2 linked regions of the Kluyveromyces lactis genome follow. The protein of the gene in region 1 purifies or fractionates together with the protein of each later gene. This does not show direct contact. Links are inferred from orthologs where the notes say so. Each region holds a gene or a part of one and is shown on either strand. Other genes may lie near its edges.

What was found.
Region 2: the proteins of ATP3 (region 1) and ATP5 purify together in Saccharomyces cerevisiae (affinity purification with mass spectrometry; 3 studies listed by BioGRID). This does not show direct contact. The link is inferred for Kluyveromyces lactis from reciprocal best matches to the Saccharomyces cerevisiae genes ATP3 and ATP5.

What each region holds. Positions count from the first base shown.
Region 1 is NC_006038.1:600,838-612,314, reverse strand, and holds ATP3 (F1F0 ATP synthase subunit gamma), read left to right. Parts: upstream 1-7,113; coding exon 7,114-7,983; downstream 7,984-11,477. Other genes in the region: DAD1 (Dad1p), read right to left, coding at 1,653-1,940; inositol polyphosphate kinase KCS1, read right to left, coding at 2,937-5,621; FIG1 (Fig1p), read left to right, coding at 8,911-9,804; long-chain fatty acid transporter FAT1, read left to right, coding at 10,134-11,477. UniProt on the Saccharomyces cerevisiae protein: Mitochondrial membrane ATP synthase (F(1)F(0) ATP synthase or Complex V) produces ATP from ADP in the presence of a proton gradient across the membrane which is generated by electron transport complexes of the respiratory chain.
Region 2 is NC_006039.1:885,602-897,110, reverse strand, and holds ATP5 (F1F0 ATP synthase subunit 5), read right to left. Parts: upstream 6,508-11,509; coding exon 5,887-6,507; downstream 1-5,886. Other genes in the region: GTPase-activating protein NEL1, read right to left, coding at 101-2,089; MHR1 (mitochondrial 54S ribosomal protein mL67), read left to right, coding at 2,516-3,175; SUR2 (sphingosine hydroxylase), read left to right, coding at 4,052-5,071; rRNA-processing protein BFR2, read left to right, coding at 7,408-8,988; ERC1 (Erc1p), read right to left, coding at 9,096-10,721; PIH1 (Pih1p), read left to right, coding at 11,079-11,509. UniProt on the Saccharomyces cerevisiae protein: Mitochondrial membrane ATP synthase (F(1)F(0) ATP synthase or Complex V) produces ATP from ADP in the presence of a proton gradient across the membrane which is generated by electron transport complexes of the respiratory chain.

The sequences.
Region 1 (11,477 bases):
AACCTACCGAATACGCAGCAATTGTTGCGTATTCTGGAATATCAACATGAACCACAGGCTTAATTCTCTGTCATGGAAAAAAACCTAGAAATATATCTTAAGAGTTTTCCATTATAAAGCCTGTAATAGGAAGGGCTAATCCTTGCCATCCCGAAGAACGGTAATGGCTTGACGGAAAAATGCATCAGCTCAACATTGTTTCCCATAGGACCTAAAGTGACACTGAGTTAACAATGGAGCAAGGACGAATGTGATATTTCCGCAACATTTCCAGTTGGGTATCCTTATGAAACCTAGTACATCCAAACTCTGAGTCACTAGCATACCCACGTCGAGCTGAAACCACTATCCACGATTGAATACAGACGAGAATATGGAAGCCGTTGCGAGGCGGTTTTGATTAGGTATGTGGTGTACGGATTTGAAGTACCACACCATGGAGTTCAATGCTATGCTTCTATGCGTAGGAGCAAGAGCAACAGGCATCAGAATAACTCCAAAAACGAGAATAATCCCCTCTCATTGAGATATGTCACAGTCTGTTTAACAAGAAGTAAATATCCACACAATATAATTCTAAAGGTATTGTTGTCATAGCATTTCTAAAATCCGTTAGAAATACTACCCAACACCAGGCCTTTAAACAATAATTGGGTGTATGAACTCTTTCAGCAGATCAAACTGCTGATGCATCCTTCTAATGTATAGAAGATGAGAGTATAACTCGATGTGAGAGACGAACATGCGCACACGAAACTCGATGAGAGGAAAATCAAACCCAAGTGTGGCACTGGTCCTTACCACCCCAGAAATTGCATCACACAAATACCGATCGTGATTCCGCACCCATCATATATTCTATAATAGAACCAAAGGCCTATTTAAAGACCAAACATCTGTTTTACTCCTCCAGAACTTGATCTGTTTAAACATCAAATTGCAGATTCTCTTTCTATTGAAGAAAGTTGTTTTTTGCTCAAAAGAGAAAAGTCGCGTCAAGCTGCATTGGACTTAAAGATAGAGAATATAGGATAATAACGTAGGCAGGGGGACCAGCATTACCATTGTGGGTGATAATATTCCATTTGCTCACTTCGACTGACTGATGGAAGATATTCCGTATTATTAAGAGGTTCAGCGTTACATTGTATACTTAAGAAAGAGAGGAATTTTTGAAAAAAAGAATGGTTCCTAGCGGGATCGAACCGCTGATCCCCGCGTTATTAGCACGGTGCCTTAACCAACTGGGCCAAGGAACCAACTTCTTGTTGTTGCCCAGCAAAAAGTAACGCTAAATGCCACAATCCCTTCTGTCAGTATGCACTTGTTTTCCTCGAGGGTGTTAAACATATTGCCCCATTTCCCTTCAATACAAGTATAGCTTCGGATGCAAATCAAGAGATTAGTAGAAGACGCACGAAATTTAAGCAGAAACTGATGAAAAATATGTGGCGTGTTCTTAACTTTCTTTTTATCCTGTACCAAACGGTCTACATATATATACCGTCTATAGAAGCACACTTCTAGAACAAACAACTGATGAAAAATACTTATGATGCGACACGTTGCTGTAGTTCATTGGCTGGTAAGTTTTATCTGCAAAGCTTATCAAGTTCCTCAATTTGTGCCTTTCTTGATATAAAACCAATTCTCTATTTCCCTTCAGGATTGACATCCTCCGTAATATGTTCAGAATCTGCTACTCCTACCGTCTCCATATTCTGTTCTTCAGACTCAAGCCCATTATAGAACAGTTTCCATATCTGTGATACGTTTTCAAATTCCTTCCCGACTGCTATACTATTTTCAAGGGTAATGTTTAACCCATTTAATTGATTCAAAATGGCATCCATGCTTTCGTTGATCTCTTGTAATATCAGACTTCTTTGCTCGATGAAATATTTGTCGCCTGTCGATAGCTGTTGAACCTCTTCTGTCATTGCTGCTTGCTATATGTTGGGCCCTCAGTGTATGCAAATCGGGACTCCTGTTATTTTCCGATGACCCTCGATATACAATGCATATCAGTTTACCTTTTTCGTGTATTTCCATGATCTAAATGTTTTAATAAAACTGTCCGCTTCTCATAAAGATACTAAGTCGTTGATGACAGAAACCTGGTGTATCGCTGAGAACCAACTGGCTCCAAAGCTTAGGTAATTGGAACATTTAGCAGCTCAATTAGACATTAAAATAGGCGAATATCGCGATCTGCGGTATTTGAATCTTCACTGCCAATTTACCTTCAAATATGAAATCAAGATGTTACCGGCAAGGATTATCATTGGCACATATACAGACGTTTGAAAGACATAGCAAATGTAAGAAACCACTAATTTTAAGCGAAATACTGGTAACCTGGATTAGCAAACGATCTTCATCTCACGCCAAGCTATATAATACGACTGACTGCCCTTTCACATCATATTCAGCTTACCCTACCGATGTTCTCTCGGATATAAAATGGAAAAAGTTATTGAATGCTTACTCTTTCACCATATTACATAGTTCTTGAAAGTTTCTTTAGCGTAAAAGGGCAAGTAAAAATCAACCAGTATATTTGGCTGGCCAAGGCATCTTCAACTCTTGGCTAGTCTCTCTAAGCTGGGAGAATAAATCTTATCAGTCTTGAACAATTTAAGTTCTGTTATCCGATCTTCAAAAATTATATCGATATAACCCTATCGTTGTTCAAACAAATACAAACCACAACAATCGACTCGTGTAGCCCGCAACTTTCCACCAGGTAACAATGCTAAAACCTATGACTTTTAGCCTTAGCTGCAAAGCAAAAACCGAATTATACTTACACGGTAGTTACGTACAAGCTTATATATAAATTATGCTGAAGCTGTATTGCACTAACAAGAATATGTCGTTTGGATGTAGTTGTAATTGAGAGTAAAAAAATTTGGTTCTTATTCAAATGATTGGCCTTAGTCGCTGACTTCGTCATCAGCGTATCTGGGCTCAATGTCAAAGATCAATTCATATTTCCGCCATTTTACGCGCAAAGGACTTTCCGCATTGCAGGCCTCGGCGTCATCTTCTTTATCGTATTCATCTAGCCAGTCCCAGTTGGAATTGAATTTGTCTATATTATCTTCCAAAAACTGCGTTAGCTGCTCTCCATGTTGGACCATAGCGGCGTCGTTAGTTAAAAAATTCCAAATATGAACTAGATAGAACTTCAAGGATTTTATACCTCGAAGGAATCCCTGATCCTCTCTGTTTGGGAAATGAGGTGCAATCTTAAAACGATCTAGTGACTTTTCTATATCACGATCAGTGACACACCTAGCGAAATCTATAATGTTTACCTTCACCCGAGATCGTTTGTTCTGAGGGTTGTCGCCATCGTAAAATAAGAGCAAAGATGATCCGTACAATCTGTATGATTTCAGCTTCGCGATTTCACTGTATAAAGTATCTAATTGTTGAATCAAGATAGGAATTTGCTTAACGATACTTCTTTTCGACTCGCCATCGTATAAGAATCTTGCTAACACTCTAGAAAATTGCCAACCGACTCTTACCTTTCTACCGTAATACTTATCCCTTGTAATGTAATAATTATGCTTCTTATCCCAAATCTTTAGCCCACATAATCTCACTCCAAGCTTCCTCGAAGTAGTCTTTTTACATTTTTCACGCTGTGACAGCTGTTTGGATCTCTTGGCATCAACTCCATACTGCCTGGTGCCCATTTTCAAATCAAGAACTGATGGGCACTTAAGCTTTCGAGTTAAGTCTTCGAGTAAGATGAATTTAGAGACAATAGTATGCGAAGTCTCTTCCACGGAAACAGATTCATGGTTGAAGGCACCTTGTTGTTGTTCGGGAGATTTGACATCTGATTCATGAACATCATCGTCCAACTTAAACATAATATCGTCATCTTCCAAGTTGCTAGGATTCACATCTAATACGTTATTTGTCGATACGGCTGCTCGCTTCATAGAATTACGCCGTAAATATTGTTCGTTGCCCAGGCCTCTTGATTTCTTATTAGAAGAAGAGGAAGAAGATCTCGAGTGTTTACATTCCTTTAGAGACGAGGAAGATCCTGTTCTAGTACGTGAAGAACGAGGACTATAACATACACCCGAGGGTTTCCGTCTCATGAAAGCTTCTTTGACCACCAATTCTTGTAATTTTGTGTTGACACTAGTTGATCCAGATCCTTGATTGGAATTACCCTTAAAAACCTCTCCTCCGTCAAAAGAACGAGACGACAAAAATGAATCTATTGGAGCACTAGAAGGCGAGTTTGAAGTCGACCGGGATGAAGAATATTGTTGATACAGTGAATTGGGTATAATATGCTTGTTGTCATCTAGCACTACTTCCGGTAGTGTAGAAATCCCTTCTTTGATGTCTTCCATTCGTGACAAGAATGTAGGTGATGCTAATCTATTACATGAGCTTCTAGATTGGTCATTAAGTGTTCTCTCATTCCTCAGATCATTACTGGAAATATGCGAGTTGTCATTAGAGGTATTAGTATTATTATTCGCTTTGAACTTGGTTGTATTGTTAACTATTTCTTCTAAGAAATCTTCCTTCGTGTGGAAATGCTGTCTGACGTTCAATACACCGATGTATCTTGGCATGAATTGAAGAAGTTCTTGATGCTCCTTTTCTATGGTTTCGTACCAGTTATTTTCTGTATTAACCAAAGCTTTGCAGACGGCTCTTTCACTGAATTTAAAGATAGCAGTGTGCCCTCCAACTTTGTTCGTGAAAGGTTTCAATTCCACCGCCAAGGGGAAATCACCGTGTTCTTCAACATCGTCGTCATCATCATCGTCAGCGATAGCACTTTCATCAGGAATTGTCTTAGAATTGAAACTTGGTATCTTATTTTCAATTCTCAGCGGTTCATCGTGCCGTTGTTGTTCTAAAGCTGTATTAGTTAACTTCCTTGGATATTCTTCATCCTTGTGATTTCTCGCAGCACCGATATGAATAGGGGGCACCACTACATCCGGGCCAAAGAGATTGACACTTGTCTTATCTTTCTCATCAATTATAGAGATATCTTTATAACTGGATAAAATGTGACGATCTTCATCTGTTAAGTAGATAGCGGACGCGGAAGTTTTTGGTTCTAATGCAACACCTTCTGTCGCATCCACATCTTCCAGCTCATGTAAATCTGTCAAATCTGTCGACTTAGTATTTTTCAAAACAGGTCGTTGGTCTACGCTGACCTTCATAAACGATTTAGGACCATGCGCGATCTCTGTCTCATTTGAGTTTGAATTAGATTTGGAGCCTAAGCCACCACCAGAATACTTCCTTAGGCTTTGATCAGGAATCGAGACATCTGAGTCTTTATCATCGAACACTCTCAAGTAATTAGCTGCTTTTCTACCATGAATTACAGAACTCTTCCTGTTCCTACTAGACTGCTGCTGTTGCAGCTGCTGGTTCTGACCACTAATTTGGGGTGAAGGATGCCGTTGTTTGTTACAACTATCGTCCATACTTAAATCCTGCAAGTGAGCCGCAACCAGAGTGGTCTGTTGTGCGGCATTTTCATTAGAGCCATGCCGTTGTACTTGCATCTGTTGCTGTTGCTGTTGCTGCTGCTGCAGGCCATTAACCTCTTGCTCCATGTGTTTATAAAACAGCCTGTAACAAAGGATTGGAAAACCAAAATAATAACAAAAAAAAGAGTCCTGTTACAAGAGATAAGAGAAGCGCAGATGAGAATGAAATCACAGAATAATATGAATACAGTACTGGCTTTCTTTGGCTCACCTGGCAAACAGCGCGAACCGATAATTGGGCCAGATTGAGGATATATCTATTAAGATGAATTGAAAGATTGTTTTTCTTTATTGATATATTAGATCAAGAAGCTTTAAAAAAAAAAATTATAACGAAAGACTGAATACTGATTAAATTGAACATGGAATAGATATCGAGATAGAAATTGAACAGATACTAAATGTCTGATGTTCACTATTTCTAAATGATGTTTCAACTGCAGGTGGCCCTAATTTCTGACATGCGAATGTCAAGATATGACATAACGTCCAGCAGCACCTGCACGCTACACTCTTCCTTTTTCAGTAACGGTAGTTTAAATTCATTTTATGTAGACAGAATATAGAGATGAGAGAGAATAAATAAAAGGTTTGCGTCAAGGTGAAAAGAGGGGAGGAGCAGTCTTTGCATGTGGGGGATCTGAACCCATGTGTGTAATGGTTTTAAATTGAAGATTGTGCCTTATTATAACCATCAAAATTTCCTTTTTTTTCCCCCTGCCTGGCATGCCTTTTTGAGTTGTAATAATAAGGGAAACGGAAGCATGTGGTGAGCATCCTTGCATGCACCATCAAATTATGTTTTTTTCAAACATCCAAATTAATATGCTCGCGTGGCGTAATGGCAACGCGTCTGACTTCTAATCAGAAGATTGTGGGTTCGACCCCCACCGTGAGTGCTTTCTTTGGATTTTACCACATCCGCGATAGTTTAATGGTTAGAATTCGCGCTTGTCGCGTGCGAGATCGGGGTTCAATTCCCCGTCGCGGAGAATTTTTATTTTTTTGACCCTAGCTGTCGTTACATCACGTGACTTTCCGCCAATGATACCATGGAATACATAACAAGTCCGGGTAAGACCGCTATATTCTCACAGAAATCAAAAATTTATTGCTGGACTCGTATATGATGATCCATATAATGGCGTTCCATCTTCAAAGATACACAGAGCCCCTTCAATTAGAGTATATATCTGGCCATATAAGCTGACTCTCTCACTCCATAACCGCAGCATTCTACTCAAGACTAGCTACAAATAACCTATACTATCCCACCCTATTCTCTCCTGGCTTCTGCCCCCCGTCTTTCTCCCTTTATACCTCGAATTTCACGACCCGGTGTGAAATTCCCAATCTTCGAAATAATTTTCAAACATATCGATTTCGAGGTTTTTTAACTCTTTTACTATTACAAGTGTGTATTTTGAATAATTTGATTAACGTTCCACACGGTGAATACTTGAATTGTATTTGCATTGAGTTGACCAGTCTACCTTTTCAACTGTTCTCTTTGTTCAACCCCGCAAGCCCAACGTAAGAAATATACATTCGAATAACAATGTTTGTGAGAAACACTGCATCCGTTGTACGTGGTACTTCCAGAAACTATGCAACCTTGAGAGAAATCGAAACCAGATTGAAGTCTATCAAGAACATCGAAAAGATCACCAAGACCATGAAGATCGTTGCTTCTACCAGATTGTCCAAGGCTGAAAGAGCTAAGAACAGTGCTAAGGAGTATGCCTTGGCCGATGCTGCTTTCTACAAGAACGCAGAAACTGTTCCATTGGAAGATGCTGAAAAGAAAGATTTGATCATTGCCATCACTTCTGATAAAGGTTTGTGTGGTTCTATTCACTCTCAATTGGCCAAGGCTGTTAGACTTCAATTGAAGCAAACTCCAAACGCTGATGTTGTTGCCATCGGTGACAAGGTTAAGGGTCAATTGCTAAGAACCAACTCTGACAACCTCAAGTTCGCTTTCAATGGTGTTGGTAAGGAAGCTCCAACTTTTGAAGAAACTTCTTTGATTGCTAACAAGATCTTGGAAGGTGGTGCTTCCAATTACAAGAAGGTTTCGATCTTCTGGAACGACCCTATCTCTTCTTTGTCCTTCGAACCTTCTAACAAGCCAGTCTTCAACGCTGCTGCCATTGAACAATCTCCTTCTTTCTCCAAGTTCGAAATCGATGCTGACAACAACGTTTCTCAAGATTTGTTCGAATTCACTTTATCCAACGAAATCTTGGCTGCCATGGCTGAAGGTTATGCTGCTGAAGTCTCTGCTAGAAGAAACGCTATGGATAACGCTTCCAAGAACGCCGGTGACATGATTAACAGTTACTCCATCTTATACAACAGAACCAGACAAGCCGTTATCACCAACGAGTTGGTTGATATTATTACTGGTGCTTCTTCTTTGGATTAAACGTAATATGAAGAAAAGAATACTTTTAATTTATCACTAAATTAGCTGGAAAGAGTTAAACAGGAACCTTCATACTGAAGAGGAAAGAGCATCCTCATCCCCTCTACAATCGCAGTTCCTTATCACCCTTTCTGCCTCTTTTTTTTTCTAAACTTACACCTATTTTCCACCTCTATCAATGAAAATGATATATTATTTGGTATTATAATGTTAAACTATCATTGGGTTTCCTTAAATTATCATTCTAAGACATCATTTCTATATTTTATGATTATGAATTGAAGAACTTAACAACAATTAAAAAAACTACTTTGAGATTTATTTCACTAAATATCTCTCTCAGAGGGCTATGAAGACGTTTACGCCTTTACATTTCCAAATGGCGATAAAGAATTATTATAAGAAACTAATATTGGCCTCTTTCAAGGTTCTACTCATATCGCACATATTGTTTTGAGCCACTTCCAATGAAGGCAATTGTTCGATCGAGTGTCAAGTTTACATATTCGGACTTTCGCATTTCATTCAACAACACTCTCGTCTGGCCTCAGATTTCTACTGTATACTGCCATTATCACTACGTATGTACCATATTTGTATGACTCTTTTAAAACAGATATATTCAATGCGAATCCCCCTTCGCCTCTCCTATGTATTATGAGGTTGCATTGGCGCATGTCTTCTGTCATTCATAGTCGATTCAGGTCTGTTTCATATCTGTATCACTGTTAAAAAACACTGAAACACTTGAATACTGGAACAAGATTATCAGATATGATGCAGTATTATTTCAGTTCATTAAACGTATATAACCAGATGCATTCATATTGCAAACTTTCAATGAGCTTTTAGTTTCAATTTACTTTCTAGTACAGTTAGGTGTAACTTAGCATCCTTCAACAAAACACTGATAAATACAAAATCATTATGTTTCTACCATTCACCTTATTCTATAAGCTAGGAAAACGTATTCCTAGGGTGCTGGTGTTAATTACTTCTTTTATTTCAGTATTTTTATTGGTATTTTTATTAGTGGGTTGTTACAACGTCGATCAGAGTTCAACGTATTTGGTGAAATATCAATTCAACGATAAATCTCCCCTATATCCAGTCATTTCAAATCAGTTCAGTTCACAGGAATATACTGATGGATTAGAAAACGTTCAAATATTTTCAGGGTATATGGGGATATGTATCAATAACATCCCATCGAATTATGACAGAAACTCCTCGAGCAAATCGTCTAAGGTTTGTTTCAACAGGAAGAAGGTAGATGACATGGACATATTTGACGATTTGACGATTAAGATTTTCAGTTTCAAGAATTCCAACTCCACAGAAGAATCAGAGTCCAGTAATTTAAATATATTGGAGTTAGCTCACCAAAATTCTGACGAACTGGTGCATCCTTATTTATTGATGGTTGTTACCATTTTCACAATTTTGTTGTTTGGAATCACAGTATATGCAATCATACCTAAATTGCCATTTAAAAATTACGTGCAGTTTATTATCATGGGTTTATCTGCATTGATCACCTTGTTATGGGCTATTGGTGCCATATGGACTCACGTTGCCATAAATTGCAATGTATCCCTAATTCCAAGAGCATCGATGAATATAATGACAGCAGAAAAAGGAAGTAAATCACAGGCTCTGTCATGGACTGCATTTACATTCATGCTCATAGACTGCTTGATAATGTGGATGGTATACTTTAGAGATAGAAAGAAGCTCGACGAGAAGCTGGATGACGTTAAGTCAACCAAAAACCCGTTCTCGAATAAATACGCATCAGATACAACTTTAAGCAGTGTATGATAGAAGCCAACGCAGCCATTGCACTTCCTAATATTATATGCACTTTGCGAATGATTATATCGTATTTTAAAGATGTGTTTCTGGTCCCAACGTTATTATAAGTTTGCAGTTTCTTTATATCTTTATTTAAATGTATGTTGAATGAATTTCCAAGTTTCTATAAATTCTCATAAGTTCGAATTCATATATCTACAAAACTAACTGGATAAAAAAGGGAAGCAATTTAACAGTATCCAAACCAATCTTAGAAGCAATTGTTACCGTTTGAGTAAAGGTTTTATAGACTGAACTGTTCAACCGTCGTTAGCACGCTTTTACTAGCGAAGACAATGTCAGATCACAACAATTTCGCCAGTACTCAGCTGCTTTTCTTAATATTCCGAACAATAGTACGGTTTATTTTAATCCCATGCAAACTGGTTACGTCTCTACTACGGAAGCTGTTCCCAGCAGGGATAATGAATCGTTTGGATCCAAACTACCGATGGAGAGATGATTATCACATTGTCACATATTTTATTACGAGCGTTTTCAAGTATGTTTGGTCAGTGTACAGCAATAGATTCCAATATTGGTACGTATTTGAAGCTCAGGTAAGGAAGGCTCCTCAAGGTTTGGCAATTAGCTACCCCAAGCCTCTATCTGTAAAAGGCGATTTCGAGTTGCAACAATTTACTTACCTGGAAACTTACAATATCGTTTTAAGGTTGTCGCATTATTTATTTAATGTACATCAGGTGAAACCTGGAGATTTTGTGGCATTGAATTTTACAAACAAACCACTGTTTATATTCCTATGGTTTGCGTTATGGAACCTTGGTGCCACTCCTGCATTCTTAAATTATAATATTTTAGGTCAACCTTTAATTCATTGCATTCAAACCTCGAATATTAGCCAAGTGTTCATTGATCCACAAGCTCGAGAACCTATGAAAAAAACAGAAGAAGACTTGAGAAAAGTATTGCCCCATACCCAGTTGCATTACATCAATGAAGACGAGCTATTCAACAATGTTTTACTCAATGAAAAGTACCCTACTCTAAGAGTGGACGACGGTATTCGGTCCTCTCAATCGGCAAAAGATTTTGAAGCTGCAATGCTAATATACACTTCAGGTACCACTGGCCTTCCTAAACCAGCAATTATGTCTTGGAGAAAATCAACAATCGGTTGTTCATTGTTTGGTAGGATAATGCGTGTCACTCAAGGCAAGACGGTCTTTACAGCAATGCCATTGTATCATTCAACTGCAGCATTGTTAGGAGTCTGTGCAATCTTTGCCCATGGTGGTTGTGTTGCCATTTCAAACAAGTTCTCGACATCTACATTCTGGAAACAAGTTTGTATGACCGAGTCCACTCATATCCAGTATGTCGGGGAGGTTTGCCGTTACTTATTGAATTCTCCGGTGAGTTCCTACGAGAAACAGCACCGCGTAGAGATTGCATACGGGAATGGTTTGAAAACGGATATTTGGAAAGAGTTTAAAGAAAGGTTCAATATTAAGATAATTGGAGAATTTTATGCCTCAACTGAATCTCCATTTGCGACCACTTCTCTACAACGTGGTGATTTTGGTATCGGTGCCTGTAGAAATTATGGTCCTTTCGTCAGTATGGTCTTGTCAATTCAGCAGTGTTTGGTGAAAGTTAACCCCGATGATGAAACCATT
Region 2 (11,509 bases), on another chromosome or scaffold:
CGACAGTAAATGGGGAACTATTCTAACCTTTTGGTTTTGGTTATATATATATAGAGTTCATGATATCTGTTGAGAGGTAAAATGAATGATTACATACTTTTCATGCAGTACTTTTTGATTTAAACAGTGCCATGTATTTATCAAGCGTGAGGTCATCAGAATGCAAAGAATGTTCTGCAGTTAAGCCTAGTCGTGCAATTACAAATCTATCCTGACTAGCACCTGGCTTGGTTTCTCGATACCAAGGCTTTGGAAATCGACTTCCATCGTGGTATATGGTATCAGCAGCTGCCTTCAAACTGTCAACTCTGCTATCTCCTACTGAAGTATCTCGTACCACAAGGACGTTACCACCATCTACCAATAAAGGTTCGGCATAATTAAGGATGTCAGTTGTATTTTGAATAAGCCCTGTGGTCGAATACACTTGGGGTCTAACCATCTTGAATATATGACTTAAAGGGGAATTCAGAATTGTCCAATGGTAGACGATCCACTCGTCAGGCGATGTATTTCTCTTCCTTAAGAGAGTTGATCTTTGCATAAAGTACGTTACTTCTTGTAAGGATTTAATGCCAGGAACATCGATGGCATTCAATGATTTAAGAAGTTTTACTATTTCTAACGTCCACCACCTTAGATCGTAATCATAAAACTTGCCTTGAAACAAGACAGCGAAAGATATTTTTTTCATTATGGATCCAGCCATTATATCCCAGTGGAAATTTTGGGTTAAAAGATGTTCACCTGGTAAGGTTGTACTGGGAATAAATTTCGTTTCTACAGAAACGTATTCTTGATTCAAGTGTTTATAGTAGCATTCCATTTGAAAGGAAAATTTATCTGGCATTTCTTGCAAGGCTTCAGCAGCGCTGCGAGATGTATCAACAGATAAACTTATCAAAATTGATGGTAGATTACTACTTGGCCCTTTGTAACGGAAGGTTCCAGACCCTCCAAAGCCCTTTGGAGTGTCAGATACATGTGTGTCCTTGTCTTTCAAGGATGAGACTGGACCAAAGATCCCATTCAGTAATAGCTTGTTAGAAGTTTTGATAACAATTCTGGTTATTTCATAACATCCTTTCCCTTGAATATACGCCTGCCAATCATATATGAAATTTCTATCATTGAAGGATTCGTATTGAATAAAGTTGTTCAAACAGGATCTCATCTCCCATATTCCGACCTGATCCATGGATGCGACGAATACCGTGCATGGAGCAAACTTTAAGGACTTACTCATTTTATTGTAAAATTCTCTAGAAGGTTTCCAATATTTCACATCCTTGTCTTCCTCTATATTTCTATGCTGCCTGATATGATTTTTTCGGTCCATTGAGATAACCTTACCTGGTGCTACTGTACAGGGTCCGAAAACAAATGCAATGGATTGTGATGGGTTTAGACATTGTGCTAGAAAAATAGCGAGTGCAGTGTTTCTTCTACATCTTTTTTTTGACCTAGTCCGTTGACATAGAAGTTCCGCGAGTTTAGCACCGAAAGATATTTGGTCCGTCCAAATCTTCCTCACTAAAAGCCCATACTTTGCAATGAACCATTCTGTGTCAAGCTTCTTAAGATGGCTGATACAACTACTAGATTCTGCATCTACGGTAATGTGTGACCCGTCAGTATGAATAGTGACAGACCCATCTTCAATCGTGATCAGGGCCAATGACTGGACAGAACCAAATTGTAACATCTTCAACGCGTCTAGATTTTCCTCAAATTCACAATTAAGATCGATGATTATGGCGAACTTGGAATGCGTAGGCACAGCAGCAGTTCCTAAATGTTTTAGGTATGACGATGATAATGGAATATTCCCTAGTTCATTATAAGCATTACAAAAAGAACAAAACCACCCAGCTCGTGAATCTCTTGAACATAAAAAATTCGCAAACCCTCCACAGATTTTACAATTGGTATAATTCTCACTGCTTGCTAGGCTTGAATTCCCGTCAATTGTCAAGTCCGGCTCACAAATGGCACTTATCGATCCACGGTTATCATCTCCACAATCGAGAACTCTAGCTAAGCAATCTGTCCGGGACGTAGGAACGGCTCCATAATTCAATTCAAACATCAAGTTCTAGATGGTGGAATATGCGGACACTTGACGGATGAAGGTGATAACTCTACTGTGCGTGTCTGCTGATAGGAAAACCTTTCTCTGGAGATGAGATCCAAGATAAGATAGAGCAGGTAGCGGAGAATTCAATATCATCACAAGATCCGGGTAATGTATATATTAGGTTCATTCTCTTTAATTTTCAGTGTTTCTACGAAGTTGTTTATGGCATCTGAAAAAGCTGAAAAATTTTGAAAAAGAGAAAGCTGATAGTTAGTTTAGCTTGATTACAGAAGAGATCACCACATTTGTGCACACATTGTATTTAAATAACTCTTCAGAAGTCCATCAATAGCACTGGAGATAGAAGAGAACTCTGAGGATCAAGGCTTTTGTTGTTAACAAATAAGGCTTGAAGACACCATAGGGCACTAGGAAGAGATGAGCAAGCATTTAGCTATTACCAAGTTCCGTCCAGCCAACTGGCTACAGAAAGCAGGGTATGCACCACAAGTCTTTTTATTCAGAAACCTAGAGAGTGGACAAGTGCTGTACTCTCAATTCCCGACTTTTTCTTGGAAGCAAATTGATACCAATTTCCAAAGACCCAACTGGGAGAATAAGAAACCAAGCACCAGACGTGATATTTGGAAATGTATGGCTGTTGTTGATCTACCAGACTACGACAAGAGTGTAAAAGTATACCAGAATTTGTGCAGATTAAGATATCTCCGTGATGTGACATTCAGTAAACAGGCAAAAGACATGAGAAAGAAGAATGAGTCCGGCCACACATGGTACTCATCGCAATACAGACCAACATACTCTCAAGAAGCGGTTGCCGATTTGCGAGAATGTCTCCTAAAGTTGAAAGACGTCCAATCGTCCATTAAGGTCCATTGGGAAGACGAATGGAGAATGGGGGATAAAGAGAAATACTGGAACCCAGTATTGCCAGAGTTGAATCACACAACACTAGAACGTTTGGGGAACGTTTCCAGAGAGGAAAGTGCAATTTTGAAAGAACTAGGCGAAAGAGCCAAAGAAGAGTTCGCAAGAGTGAGACAACAGGAGTCAGCTGCTCAAAACATCTCTCTATGAGTTACAAAAGAAAACAAGCAAATACAAACTATTTCCAGTTGCAAAAGCTGAGCCGAGCTCAGATCTTTCACTGCTTCACTCGTCACGTCTTTAAGAAATCACTACATGTACATATATAACCCGCAGACAATCCGACTCTGTAAATAATATAAACAAACCCTCAGCTCACTACCGGCGTTTAACTGATTTGACAAGGTGATTACTAGCAGTTTTCTCCCTTGTTTCCATCATCACGTAACCTAAATATCAAAGGTTCTGTAATCATCATATTACTTCCTCTACTTTTCTACCGCTTCATACCATATGTGTCTCATGCATGCATTAACGCCTAACGGAAGAAGAAGCAGGAACCCGGACACCAAAGAAAAAGCAAAAAAAATGTCACATGACCAAATTTGAGAAACCTTAACACCGTTTCTCTGGTTTTCTCTGGTGTTTCTTTAACGACAATCCTGTTTTCCCTTAGAGGCTTCGGGTTTTTCTTAGTTTTTCTAGCATAACATGGTGTCGAGAATACAGAATTGCGTTATAAATGTATTGCGTTATAAGATCAGTGGTTGTATTTATACGAAGCGTATAGGCTAATGTTGGCATACCAAGCGAAGAAGGCTGCAATAATATTGAAAGGGTAAGGCTTGAGATTAGGTAAAAAGTTATTCTGGAGTTACTGTTTCTTTTTTTTTGATCATACTGAAGAGAGACAGCAACTATATAAAATACGAAGCAAGATACGAAATCAGATACACAAACTGATATTTGCAGTGTCATACAAAACTTATAAGTCCATTTATACTTGAGAGGAGCTGTTTTCTGTCGGATACAGTTCGAGGATAAGGAGATACAATATTTTGCGTGTGCTGTATCGGTTTTATAACTATGGCAAATATTGTTGAAAGTGCAGTGCAGCACTTGTATTTGCAGGTGAAAGATGCTATGGATGTGTCGTTTATGAATTCTAAAGCTCCACCTGCTTCTGTGATAACGAAGAAACAGGATATTTTGCCTTGGATTTCTGATGGGAAACTTGCCTTAGCACTACCTGTTGTTGCTTATTGGCTTTATTCGATGTTTTTCCATTACATTGATACCAATGAGGTTTTCGAACAGTACAGGATTCATCCAAGCGAGGAAGTACAACAGCGGAATAAGGCCTCAAGATTAGAGGTTTTAAAAGAGGTGATATTACAACATTTCATTCAAACATTTACTGGACTTGGTATGCTCTACTTGGATCCTGTGCCGACTTCAGGGTTTGAGAAGTATGAGATGTGGAAATGGAGGCAATCTTTACCCTTTTTCGTACCATCTGTTTTCATCAAGTTTATGTATTGCTATGGATGGTCTATGATAAGGATATTTATTGGGTTTTGTATCGTAGATTCGTGGCAGTATTGGCTGCATAGGGTGATGCATATGAATAAGACACTTTACAAAAAATTCCACTCACGTCATCATAGGTTATATGTTCCTTATGCGTACGGTGCATTGTACAATTCCCCAGTGGAAGGTTTCCTCCTTGACACTTTGGGTACAGGCATTGCTGCAATCGTGACACAATTAAATCATACAGAACAAGTTGTTCTATACACTTTTGCTACTTTGAAAACAGTGGACGATCATTGCGGATATGCTTTGCCCCTGGACCCATTCCAGTGGTTGTTTTCAAATAATGCAGTGTATCACGACATTCACCATCAGTCTTTTGGTATCAAGTCCAATTTTTCTCAACCATTCTTTACCATATGGGATAAGTTTTGTGACACCAAGTATCATGGATTTGAAGAGTATGAGAAAAAACAAAGACGTGTCACCATTGACAAGTACAAGGAGTTTTTGAACAAAAGAAAACTCGAACACCAGGCCAAGTTAAAAGCTATGAAAGAGAAGATGTCATAGTTTTCTTATCTTCTGCATATATCCTACATCAATGTTTCACTTCCAATTGTTTTTTTTTAACGTTTCATTGTTATCTCTTTTCTCCTAGAAAAAGGATCAATCACCGTCATTTTCTTGTGATCACATATGCTTATTAGCATCCTTATAATTGTGATTATCAGTATTACTATTTACTTTACTACTGGCGTTAGAACCCACCCCTTATTCGTTTTACACATTTTCTTTCAGATTTTGTAATGAAGTTAGTTAATTTTTGTAATGAGGTTTAAAGAACTCAATCTTTTTCTGCATCCACTCTATCCTTAATCGATTCATTATACTAAATTGAATAGTGTTCTGAAAGTTATACTTTATTTCAACATCTATTTATGAGTTTGTATTTAAACTGACTCGAAAATGGTTGGTTTAAGTAAACAAAGCAATCCAATGAGACGACTAAGGATTAAAGAATCGACTTTTGAATCTTTTCGTTGTGTATTTGCTCTATACATATACGATCGTAATAAAATTTTTTTGGCACGAAGCGCGAAGAATGTTAATAGTTTAATAATGTTTTAAAGTTACTTGTATCGGTAAAAAGTGGACGTCAAGTCATCATGAAATCGTGAGAGAAAAAAAAAAGAAGTATCGTTGAAATATAAAATCATAGTTCAGATGTGAATCGTTTATTAATCACGTTCTATTCACTGTGTGTAGTTTATAGAACACATATTTCTCCCTTGAGAAGGGAAATAAAATTGAAGATACCCCATACATGAAATTCATGATATATTTTCCTCGTTCATATAATTGATTTATAGGTTTTGGGATATCGTTTAAATAGCTTCTCTTAGAACTTGGTTCAACTTGTTGATTCTGGAAGCAATTGACAAATCGACGGTTCTGTCGGAAACTTCAACGATTAAACCACCTTGGATTTCAGGCTTGACAACGTTCTCCAATTTCAAAGACTTACCCTTACCAACCAAAGAGGAAGCAGCCAAGGCCTTTTCCACTCTCTTGAACAACTTAGAGTCCAAAGGTTGAGCAGTGGTAACAGTCGCTTGCACAAGACCATGGTAAGCATCAGTCAACTTGGAGAATTGGGAAGTGACATGTTCTAACAAGGATAATCTGTTGTTTTCAGCCAAAACCTTCAACAAGTTTTGAACGGATTGATCCAAATTGATTTTCTTGGACAAAGTGTCAACAACAATGTTTCTATCTTCAGCAGACAAGGCTGGGTTTTCCAAAATGCTGGTCAACTTGGTGTCCTTGGCAACAGTTTCCTTCAAAGCATTCAATGAGGAAGCAGCAGCTTCAACGGAAGTGGTCTTTGAGGCAGCAGTGAACAATGCAGTGGCATAGGTACCATCCAAACCGAACAATTGCACTGGAGGCTTAACACCAGCCTTGGCAGAAGCTGCCATAGAACGAACAAATACTCTGGAAAACATGACTCTGTATATAGTGGTCTCTTTGATTCAATAATTCAATGATTTTATGGTTATTCAAACAATTGGAAGAAAACTTGCTCAATAGATTAAATGAAGTTTAAAGCTTAAGATAAGGTTTGGTACAATGGCAATAACAAAACACACACCTAATCGGAAAAGAGAGACTTGTCTTAATCTGATCAATGCAGAATCACTAACAAAATAGCAAATACACTTAAAAAATACAAATAAGCTAACGTAGAACGAAAGCTTCTTTTCCTGTAAATTACAAATTTATTTCTTAAAGGTGTGGAAATATTGAAAGTTCAATAAATTTTCAATTTTTTTTCCTTCCTTTACCTATATTTTTTCAAAACTTTCTCTGTTTTTGATCGGATCCTCCCTCCTATGTGTTCTTCTTTGTCTCTGTTTCGTTTCTGCTCTTGTGTTCTTGTTCCGGCCAAAGAGGTCCAAAAAAAAAAAAAAAAAACACGATCTAAGTTCCTCAGTAGTCGTAGGAAACGATGACGTGTTTTCATTGGTTGCGAGTCACGTGGAAATTAAACACTATGCTTTCACTTTTAATAGATATATTTGACCTTAATAGACGCTATGAGGCTTCTTAAAAGTAATTTGTATTGGATATTTGGTGCATCGAGAGTTTGAGACTAAGAATCGCTATCTTACAATCACGTGATTTAATAATAGCACGTGATCTATATATTTTCCTCTTCTTTTTGAAGATCCGAAAAGGTAATCTGGAGTTTCTTTTTTGTAGTTGAAAAATTCAAGAAAGTTGATGTTTGAGAGATGAGACGAGATGAGATGAGATGAGAGACTCTTATATGGATAAATCAGCTGTACTCAATAGTGAGTTGTAAGTGAGGACGGTGAAGTACACGTAAAATACACGCAGATTAAATGGGTAAAAAGTCTTTGGCCGAACAAATCGCAGACATTGCGAATAAACCACAAGTTGAAGATTTCGACATTGAGAATGATGAAGGTGTATTTCAACATGGTGGGTCCGATTCAGATGTTAGTTCTGGCGATGAGAGCGAAGAAGAGTTGAAGAAACAGCATTATGTGGCAGTAGGAAAGTCAAAACTTAGAAATGTGGTCGATCAAGGATTGGCCGTAAAGGATAAGAAATACGTCGGGAGCAAAGGGTCTAGAGCAGAACTGTTCAATGACGAAGAAATGGACGCTCCTGAACAAGGAGAAAGTGAGTCTGAAGCTGAATCCGGATCTGAAGAGAGTGATGCAGTATCCTTTAGAAGCGATTCAGAAGATGTATCCGAATCTGAAGCCACTTCCGAGTCAGAAATAGAGAAAGATAGAGAGGAAGATGAGGAGACTGCGATGAAGAAAGAGAAATTGGCCAAGATAGTACAGACGCAAACTAAACAAGTGATTAATAATTTAGCACATTCCGCTCAGAGAGATGCTTCCAAAGGTTATGCCATCTTACAACAGAATAAATTCTTCGATAAAATTCTAGACTCTAGAATTAAGTTGCAAAAAGCATTATCCGCTTCAAACCAGTTACCACTTTCTCAACAATCTTGGGATGAACTTCTAGATGAAAATAACTCCAAATTGCTAACTAGTACTTTCAAAGTTTTAGAGAAAGTTTTGACCCAGTGTGTTACAGTAAGGCATAAATTCCAAATCGGTGATCACATAAACCAATCTGAGAACCCTTCTGACTTCGATAACAGCAAAAAGAGAAGTTTTAAGGAACTAGTACATGAAACTGTAACATTGGATTCTGATTTAAAATCATACCGTTCTGCCGTACTTAACAAATGGTCAGCAAAAGTTTCTGCATCATCAGGAAAATCTCTTCTGCAAGCCTCCAAGTTTAAAGCGATCAACCAGTCAGCTGATGTACAAGTGGATAACCAACTTGCTGATATGCCAAGATTACTTAAAAGGACAAAACTCAATAGAAGCAATACTAAACCTTTGTTGTTTGATGAAGATTTACAAAAAGGTCTACTAAAAGAATTGCAACTGGAGGAAAACGTAGAAGGAGACATCGAAGAAGAAAATAATTTGGATATTCCAAAGAATTACGATCCAAGAAGGAAGGATAACAATGCATTAGATTTTACCCAAAACCCATATATCTATGATGACGAAGATTTTTACAGAGTTTTGTTGAATGATCTTGTTGAGAAAAAAATATCTAACTCTCAACAATCCAATGGTGTTACTTTGGCCATCACTTCTCGCTCTGAAAACAAGCTCAAGAAAAACATCGACACCAAGGCTTCAAAGGGTCGTAAACTAAATTACTCTATTCAAGAACCAATTGCCAATTATGAAGCATCAGTTAATACTGGGTATAAATGGTCGGATGAGCAAATTGATGAATTCTTTGCTGGTTTATTAGGTCAAAAGATCAACTTCAATGAAGACGATGAATTGGAAGCTGACACGATGCACAACGAGGAAGACGAAGAGATCAAAAATGACGATATTCAAATTTTCGGATAATTTGGAGTTCGACCTTCAACTTGTATTTATTTTTCATCTATTGTTTATTATTATAATTAAAATATGTACACGGCATTCAAAATGTCCAACAAACTGACATCGACAAATCAAACATCGATAATATTGCTCATGTTACTTGCCATACTCTCTAAGTCAACCTCATTTTCTTCTTTTTCTCTTCTATGGCATTCTTCCACTATGTTTTCCCAATTGGAATTGAAAACACAATAGCTCAAAGCAAACGCCAGTAATAAGATCCCGGTACCGCATCCGTACCAAAGCCCTTTTAATCCCAACTGAAATTTACCAAAAGTTAGCCATCCACTTAAAGGCAATGCGATAAAATAGTATGCTATGATATTTAACAGGCTGCCAACTTGCTGCCGTCCTTGTGCACGTAATATCGCAGCGCTAAAAGTTGTGAATGCATCATATAATTGGTTAACTGCCAAAATTGGAGCGACATGACGATATAACTCAACGACCTCTTTGTCTTTAGTGAACAAATACGCTAAATTCTTGTCACCTGTTAAAATCAAACAACAATTCGCAATCCCTACAAACGCTGCTATCACGTACGACGTATTAATACAGATCTTCGCGTTGTTGACCGATTCTGTCCCAACATAATTAGCAACCCTTGTGGAAACTACGCAACCCATTGCGAATGGGATTTGATATATCAAAGATCCTATGTTCGATACGACTGATTGTGCTGCTATAGCCTTGACACCGAGATATGTAGACATAATAGTCAATACTTCGAAAGAAAGGTACTCTGCTTCAATCATGAGTAAACCAGGAAATGCCAAATTCCACATAGGTTTCCAGCTGCAAAATAATCTTTTAAAGTGGAACATTGAAGAGAACATGGGATACCAACAAATCAGAGTTTCCTTTCTCCAAAATTTGCAATAAACCAGTAGCATTAAGGCCATAAACCAGTGCGATATGGCGATACCTAGAGGAGCACCAGCATATCCAATGTAACGAGTAAATGAATACACTAGAATAATATTAACTGGAACTGTAATCAACAAGGAGTATGTTCCTGCTTGGAAATGGCCCTGTGATTGAAGGAATCTCTTACCAGTTTCGAAAAAAATCAGCCCTGGCAACCCAAACGATATTATTCTCAAGAAAAGTTGTATCTCTGGGAGGATATCCTGTTCAGCAATCACATAACCTAACCATGAAGCACTGAACCACCATGATATAATCACAGGGAAAATACCTGTCATTATCATCGCTGCACAACGGAATGAATATAAACCAACTTTTGCATATTTCTTGGCACCATACGCTTGTGAGCAAAAGGTATCCAAAGAAGTGGCCATACCCTCCACAAATGCTAAACCAGTAATATTGTAAGTCATTACCGCCAAAGATGCGGAAGCTAAGGCATCACTTGATTTACAGACATGACCGATGACAAATAAAGAAATAATAGCCAAAGAGTATTCCATTAGAAAAGTTAATGTAATTAGAGCGGAGTTGCTTAAGATATAGGAGACTTCATTCCTAGAGCTTGTTGGGGCAGTAAGATCCTCTATGAAGTCTTCGTCAATAAAGTCATCGCGATCTGCATCTGGACTCATTAGTCGATATCGATTGTCTATGGCATCGCCAGAAGATGCAGATTCTCCATCACTTTCATATCTAGTATTGTCATTGATTGTATCGTATCGCGGTCTATCCATAGAGTCACAGAGATACTCACTCTCTTGATTCATGTCTAGTTGTTTCAACTAACCTGTAATGCCCTTCTTTATCTTAAAACCAGTTTGAATGTCCATTAACAGTGGAATGAAAAAAACTAATCTCCAGAATTAAAGGTATTAATACCCAAAATGTTGTATTGAGCCAGGCAGTATGGATTGAACGGCCACCGAGCACGTTCCGATGACACGAACCTTTTATTCGTCTTGGTGTACATATAATTGATCCTTATCTACGTTGAAAAAGCACTAGTTTTGATAATCGCTAATAAGAATTTGATTGTGAAATTCTATATTATCGCTTAGCAGATAACTGCGATAGGAACAAAAAAAACAAAAGAATAAGAAAGTACATACCGTCAATTAGGTGCAATGTCATTTCTTCTTCGACCATTGAATGATAGCAGCTCGAACAACTCCAACAACGTTATAAGAATAAGCCCAGAACCATGTTTTGTCGTAAAATCTAAGGTAATAAACCCTGGTACTACATCGCTATCAAGCAATGCAAAGATATTCATCAACATTTGCCATAATGACCAGATACCCTTACCTGAAATCGATTTCAACCCCGCCATAGTATATCCCCTAATAATCAACAACCAATGGGAAATACCAATCGTAACCTCCTCAATAAGGGAGGATGTTGACAAAAAGGGCAACGTCTGCTACGTGAGCGATTGTTGTATAAACACCAAATGCGTTTCATGGATCCAGCATGATTTACAACTAAGAGAAATCGTAGTTGAATGGTGCTTAGAATCCTGTGAATTGCGAGCGGAGCTCGAAATATCAAGGGATAA